Linked DNA regions of Kluyveromyces lactis. The protein of the gene in region 1 interacts with the protein of each later gene in a pairwise test. Links are inferred from orthologs where the notes say so. Each region holds a gene or a part of one and is shown on either strand. Other genes may lie near its edges.

What was found.
Region 2: the proteins of FRS1 (region 1) and FRS2 interact in binary tests that used the Saccharomyces cerevisiae proteins (3 or more experiments, as listed by UniProt). The link is inferred for Kluyveromyces lactis from reciprocal best matches to the Saccharomyces cerevisiae genes FRS1 and FRS2.

What each region holds. Positions count from the first base shown.
Region 1 is NC_006040.1:440,271-444,178, reverse strand, and holds FRS1 (phenylalanine--tRNA ligase subunit beta), read right to left. Parts: upstream 2,353-3,908; coding exon 565-2,352; downstream 1-564. Other genes in the region: MIL1 (Mil1p), read left to right, coding at 1-452; RPS26A (40S ribosomal protein eS26), read right to left, coding at 2,938-3,297.
Region 2 is NC_006042.1:2,348,605-2,352,138, forward strand, and holds FRS2 (phenylalanine--tRNA ligase subunit alpha), read right to left. Parts: upstream 2,088-3,534; coding exon 588-2,087; downstream 1-587. Other genes in the region: OSW2 (Osw2p), read left to right, coding at 1-518; IES3 (Ies3p), read right to left, coding at 2,405-2,998; FCF2 (Fcf2p), read left to right, coding at 3,441-3,534.

The sequences.
Region 1 (3,908 bases):
ATGTGGACTGCAGTGAGATAGTTGACGGGCATATGAGTTATAGAAAGAAAATGCCTAAACTTCTTAAAGCCATTGGTATGTCTGTACTCAGTGAAGAGTTCGTAGAAATTGAAGACCCAATGGATCCGGAACAAGTTGCTAGACAGAGGAAACTTGTTGCTGAATTAGAATCTGCCCAGGAGAAACTTTCTGATGAATCCCATGGTAAGAAAAAGAGAAAGCACAAATGGTTATCTAAATCTTCTTGGTTCAAACCTCAGAAAGTTGAATGGCAAGAAATGTATGAACAGACTCTAAAGGACAAGACATTAGGGCCAGAAGTGAATGGGGATACCGAAGAAGGCATAGCTACGGATGTGCACAAAGACCAACTTATCCAAGAGATTTCAAAACTCAAGGACGAGGTACAGAAGGATATTGATCACTCGTCTCGAGACATTGTCGAGAAGTAGAAGTCCAACTGACTTTTGCGTGATGAAAATATTGCAGTGGTAAGTATATATACACTTATATCAAAATTTTATAGAATTAATACATGAGAGTGCAAGTATTATCTCTACCTATCTATAAGAAAGCTTCTGAATTGATTTCAACGTAAGAACCGGCATATGGAATGTCGAAGTTGGACATTACTTCAGGATGTAAAACACCAATATGACCGATCTGCCTAGCTTCTTCTCCTTCTTTGTGTCTGAACATGATCTTTGCACCTCTACCCGGGAAGTAGGTAGTGAGGGTATCATCTTTTTCAATCCAGTAACCTCTGCCAGTGGATCCCGCACCATAATCAGGTAGCCATTGAGTTCTGAAAGTCTGCATAATTTTCCCTAGTAAACCTTGAATAATTTCAAATGAGGCAGTTTTTCCGACATAAGCGGCGGCCCAATGACGTTGGTTGAATGCTCTTCTTTCTAGTTTATCATTCTTGAAAACAACATCACCGGCTTCAAAAACTTTGATAGGTAAAGAGTGCTTTCTATTTTCCTTAACAGTTTTTAGAATACCTGGCAATAAACTAGTTCTGACAACTTGGTATTCCAAAGTCTTTGGGTTAGCTAATTTTACAGCCTTTGTGTTATCATCTTCCATCCTTAGGAATTTAAAGTTTTCATCATGAGAGCATAAGGTCAATGGCAAAACTTCCAACCATGAAGCCTGAGAGGAAGCAATCCTTAGAATGTCTGAAATTTTGTTGATAGGTAACGCAGATGCAACGAAGTTAGCATTAGACAATTGATTGCCTTTTGGTAAGTTGTTGTAACCGTAACCGATAGCAGCGTCTTCCATGATATCACAAGGATGTAAAATATCAGATCTCGTAATTGGAATTTCAACATGTAAGATGTTTTGGTCGTCAGAGGAAGGTGTAGCTTTCAACGACATCTTTTTCAAGTTCTTTGAGATCTCTTCTGGGGATAAGGTTAGGCCTAGACAAGAATTGATGTAATCGACCTTGACGTCCATAATTTTTGGAGTGAAATTTGGGGTTACTCTAGATTGATTGTTGTGTTCAGAAACAATTTCCACTGGCTCCACGGTGAATTGGTCTTCACAATAACGGGAGAACATAGCAACGATTTGGTCCAAGACAACTTCGGACTTGGTTCTATCGGTTGCAGTAACTTCGATAAAAATATTCTTGGTGTTCAGAGAAATTTTAGAGTGTTCAGAGTTAATCAAAGGAGGCAGAGAACAAACGACATTATTGTCATCGTAGATGACAGGAAAAACAGGGGAATCTTCGATAATGTGAACGAAACGGCCCAAGTTGTTCTTTTGTTCTGGTTGTTTGTACAATTCGATTAACTCTGCACCATCGTATTCCTTACTTTGATTTAAGGGCACAAACTTGATGTCAGTTGGCTTTTCAGCTCTGTAGTGGAAAGGACCTTTAATGGTATCCAAATCGTGTGTACCAATGGCAACTAAAGTTCTGTTTCTACACAAGTTTGAGTGTAACTTATCTTGAAGAGAAATGAACGATGCATAGTTGGCTTCGGTGAATGTAACATTTCTTAAGATGGCAGCACAAGCGTAACTTCTAATTTGAGTTGTAGATTCTTCAATGATTAACTTGGTAGTTGGTTTGCTCAACTTATACTCTGGAGCTTCAACGTTACCCAAAAATTCATTCAAAGATTGAGCGATACCTTCGATACACAGTAAATCGTAACGGTTGGCACCGATTTCAATTTTCAATTCTGGTTCCTCGCCTGTCTTCAAAGCTTCTTCAGTGGTATCTTCATCTAATTCAACACCAAATTCAAAACATAATTCATCGAATTCTTCATTGGTGTAGTTTTTGCCCAAGGCCTCAAACAATTGCCTCTTGTTAACTGAAATGGTAGGCATGTTGTTAATCAGGAATCACAAAGTTAACAATAATAGCTGAATTTTCTATAAAATGCCCCAGCAAAAAGAAGATAAAAGTACGCTGAAAATGGATATATCTGGTAGGAAATATGTCGCCTGAAACCGTTAAATAACGACAGCCAATTAATGATCAGTGGATTCTAATTTTAAAAGGATAAAACGAACGTAACCTTATATTGAAAGTTAACACATGGTTTAGCATCATTCGAGATCGTAATTACTCTTTAAAACAATTTTCAGTAATACATGAAAAATTGAACAGATCAAATCGTGTATTATGATATTCTCGTTACCATTGACCAGCAAAGGCACCGCTTAACCAAATGGCTTTAGGTGCTCTTCTAATAAAGATTGGTCTCAGATGGTCTAGTGCATACTGCATCCTAACAAGCACAACTAAGGCTAAAACTGACTTTCTTGAAGTTATTTGGGTGCGTTTTAGTTATTGATATAAAACTATACAGATCTAAACATTAAACATAGAGAAAAGAATACATTTTGATGATAATAAAAAGATAAATTCATATCTTCATTTAAATGACTTGCTATTGTTTAAGGTTAGATTTACAAAGCTTTCTTAGCGGCATCAGCTGGAGAAACCTTGTTGTCTCTGTTGAATCTTGGTCTTTGTGGAGGAGCTCTGATTCTTCTGTCAGTTCTGGATCTGACTCTAACAATTCTAGCGTGGATAGCGCAAGAAATACAGTAGTGCAACTTGTTGTAGGTCTTTGGAAGAGCATATTCAGCGTAGACAGAGGCTTCAGACAAATCTCTGATAGCAGCAGCTTCAACGATGTTTCTGATAGCCATTCTCTTGATGGCCTTGTCCTTTGGAACAGATCTGGAACAGTTGACACATCTGACAGGCTTGACGTGACCTCTACCCTTCTTGTTTCTACCGTTGGAAGCTCTCTTCTTTGGCATTCTGTAAAAGTTTATTCAATGTATAATAATCTGGTACAACGACAACAGTGTGCGTTTACAAATTATTATCATAACAATTTATGTTAGTAAATTAATATTCGAATAATAATCCTCGTATGTGAGAGTGATAAGTTAAGTTGTATTGTCTAAATCTTTCCATTTCTTTATAATCGTGGAAAATCAGACCATCCTCATATGCTAACATGGACTGTAGGATGGTCCGATACTAAAGCTCATGGGCCGTTATTTATCTCACTTTCCCTTCCATTGTCTAGGTTGAATTATCATCTTTTTGATATTCATACTGGCTCCGAAGAAGTATTGTCTGTAAATTTAATTAGCCTCTCTCTCCCCTCCATGTCGCTTCGCTCTCTGTAATAGATCATCGGATTTCCATTCAGGAGATACAATTCATTCTGGGTCCTCAGGCTTAGGTTTCTGTTGGTTTCCTATTAATTGCAATTCTATCCTTATCTCATTTGATCTTTCTCACACACGTATCATTCAGCCCACGATATAGGTAACATACTTGAATATACTAGTCTTGGTTAGGCTGTGTTATCACAAAAGCAAACAAAATAGCTAAGCTGTAATATCAAAAGTCTCTCTCT
Region 2 (3,534 bases), on another chromosome or scaffold:
TTTCAGTTCATCCCCGCAGAGAAAGGATGTTATCTCAAAGGAGTTTAATAAGGGTATCGGCAAACTCAAATATGCATGAAGACGACAATATTGACCCTAGCTTAAAATTGCCTTTATTTAAAGGTTTCAAAGGTGCTGTACAGAGACCCATGACAACCGGTAGATTGGAAATGACAGATTTGGAATGGCAGCTTCGTAATGGTTATGCAGACTTACCGAAGCAAATGCTACGAGCCACAAAGGATGAACTCAAAAATAATGGTGCGATAAGACATCAATCGCTAGCTGGACAATACTGGAAGCTGATCAAGCAGCAACACATAAATAATGGGCAACTAGCTCGACCTATTACCAGCCAGGAAGACATTCTTAGGTTTCATTGCGAAACATTAACAAAATCACAAGTACATCTTTCCACTACTACTAATCGATATGGAGATTTGGATTTTAGTGACAACATATTTGAGCATTGGAAACAACGGAAAGGTAGTCTGTATAGATTACTATCTGACAGGTGATTTGAAGATATGAAGCGCATATATAGATTTTATAAACTACCAAAAGCAATTTAGAACAATCAAGGAAAATCATTCATACAAATCTTCATCTAACCTAGCGGCAGGGTTCGATTCAATGAAATCCAAAGAAACCTTGTGACCCAAAAGCTCTCTAATATTTTGAACCTTGTATTTAATCATTGTAGGTCTCTCTAAAGACAAACCCCAACCCAGAACTCTCATATCCTTTGGAAGGCCCATGGATTCCAACATTTCTGGTCTGAACATACCGGAGTTACCAATCTCAACCCATTTGCCTAACCCTTCATGCCATGAATAAATTTCCAATGAAGGTTCCGTGTATGGGTTATAGGTTGGTTTGAAACGCAACCCCGTAACACCCATCTTAGCGAAGAAGTCTTCCATGAATTGGATTAAGTCACCCAACGTTATATTGTAATCAGCTAAAACACCTTCAACTTGGTGGAATTCGGCTAAATGTGTAGCGTCAACAGCTTCATTACGGAAGACACGGTCTATCGAGAATAATCTGGTTGGTTTTGGATCTTTGGCCAACTTATGAAGCATAGCAGCAGATATTGCTGTAGTATGTGTTCTAAGAACCAATCTTTGGCACTCTTCCTCCTTCCAGTTGTAACGGTAACCAATCGAATCAAATTTACCATTCTCGTGTACAGCTTTGATGTTGGCGATATATTCTCTATCATCTGGCATATCGCATTTGATTGGGTCCTTCAAGTAAAATGTATCTTGCAAATCACGAGCTGGATGTTGTTGTGGAACGTATAATGTGTCAAAGTTCCAGAATCCTGATTCTACGTATTGGTTTGATGGCATTTCAGTGAAACCCATAGAGAAGAAAATTTGTCTGAATTCCTCTCTGACCTTGTTCAAAGGATGCAGAGCACCGGATTGTGGATCGATACCTTGAGAGTTGAAATTGAACTCTTTGAACCTTAGATCCTTATATGAACCTGTGGCTACCATTTCAGCGGTAATCTCAGTCTCCAGCTTAGTCAAATCGGTAGAGAATTCCTTGCCCTTGACAACGCTGAATGTAGTTTCCTTTCTTGGGGTGATTAACTTTCTCTTCTTTAGATCAGCAACTTCTTTATCACTGATACCAGAAAGTTCGTTATTCTTAATCTTTTCCAATTGTTCCTTGGTTTGATCTTTCACTTGGGAGACATCTGCAATTTTGTCACTAACTTTCAATTCATTTTCTGGTGTCTTTACAATCCATCCGTTCTTGAAGGCTCTAGCTTGACCAACCTTCCCGTCGGCGCCTAGATGACTGGCAACATCTTTGATTTGCAATTTTCCAAACTGATCAATCAATTTCAAGAGTTTCACTTCATGAGAACCATCGGCCACGATCGCATTACCTTCTTTAGTTAAACTGTAGAAAATGGTATCTTTCTTTGAGAAATCGATCTTTTCATGGGATTTCAAAGAATTCAAATAAGCAGCCATGGTTTGAGAATCGATACTGGGGTACAGCTCAGAGGTTGAGTCAATTTGACCCAACTTTTCGACTTTCTGTAAAATTTCCAATTGAATATCAGACATCGTGCAATGAGTATTAATTGAATATGGTAACGGATGATATCTTTAATACAGAATCACTACTGTATCAAACGTTTACGCTGAATTACCACGACAACGTTATGCCAGAATCTGCCTTAGACGAGTCAAGCTTTGACGTGCCCATCAAGTTTGTTGTATTTGATGTTCGAACAGAATCTGATTTTTGTTCTGTACAATTAAATTTTTCACTAGAGTGAAAAAGACCTGTAGTAGTGACAGACGTTCAAAATGATATCACGTGAGTCAGTTTGCATTCCTATATTGTAATGTAATGTTACGTACATATAGCTTCATTATAATTACAGTAGTGTACCCTTTGATTCATCCAGGGTGATTTGGTTTTTATTGAGAAGCGGGTTTGATTCGGCACAAAGATCTAGCCTTGTGCAAGCTTCTAGCATGATCTCTTTTAAGAGAAACCATTTCTTCTCAAGTTGAACAGCTTCTGTATAATCCTTCTTAAGTTTATCATTTAGTTCTGTGAGCCATTTCTTCTCTTCCAGCAGTGTGGACTCATCTAACTGTGCATAGTCCACGTTTTCCAAAGCTGGGTCTTCTCTTTTCCATATATCGATATAGTCTTCGTGCATCTTATTGAGTGAATCCTTATATTGGATCAACTTAAGCCTGTTTAAATCTTCAATTTCTTCTCGCTGAGCTAGCTGACCTGGAATATGACGAATCACCTCATAGTTTATCTTTAACGAGTCATCAATGGCTACTATATGTCTTTTGTTCCCAGATTTGCGATCCTCGTCAGCAGATGTGTGTAGAGGAGCGTTCTTATAACGAGCAATGGCTCGTTTACTTCTTTGTACTTGTATATTCTTAAGGTCTTCCATGGATCTCTTTTTGTTAATTATCTGTTCTGCTGTCAGAGCCGTTACAGTCATCCTCGGTGGCTTATTTGTGTTTGTGTGTGTGTGGAGTTTTCTTTACTGCTCTTTTTTGTTGTTGATTTTGGAAGTATGTAAAGATGCATATGACTTCTTAGTTTGAGACTATATTGTAGAGACAAAGAAGACGCTAAAAGATAAATATTGTTTTAGTTGAAAGGGGAGCTGTGGAGAGTACAATTTATTTGATCTTTCTGAACCGATGTTAAAGAATAAGTATTAGATGGAGAATCTTTCATCCCGCACGTGACCGTTGCTTTCTTTTCTACGACGAAAGTGCATCAAAACATCCGAAGCTCAGAAGGTAAAAAAAAAAAATAGTTACATAGCTCCCAGCTCATCGCCTTAACGAGGTGATAGAAAGAGTGTGATAAAAACCATTTAGAGTGCGTCCTTTGATAAGCTAAAGACCCTCAAGGACACTAAAACCCAAACAAACATGGACAGCCTTAATGTAGATGAACTTTTCGCCGATTTGAAGCGAGTAGTGGCGGAAGAGAAACAGAGCGATGAGCCAACTAAAGGTGATGTCG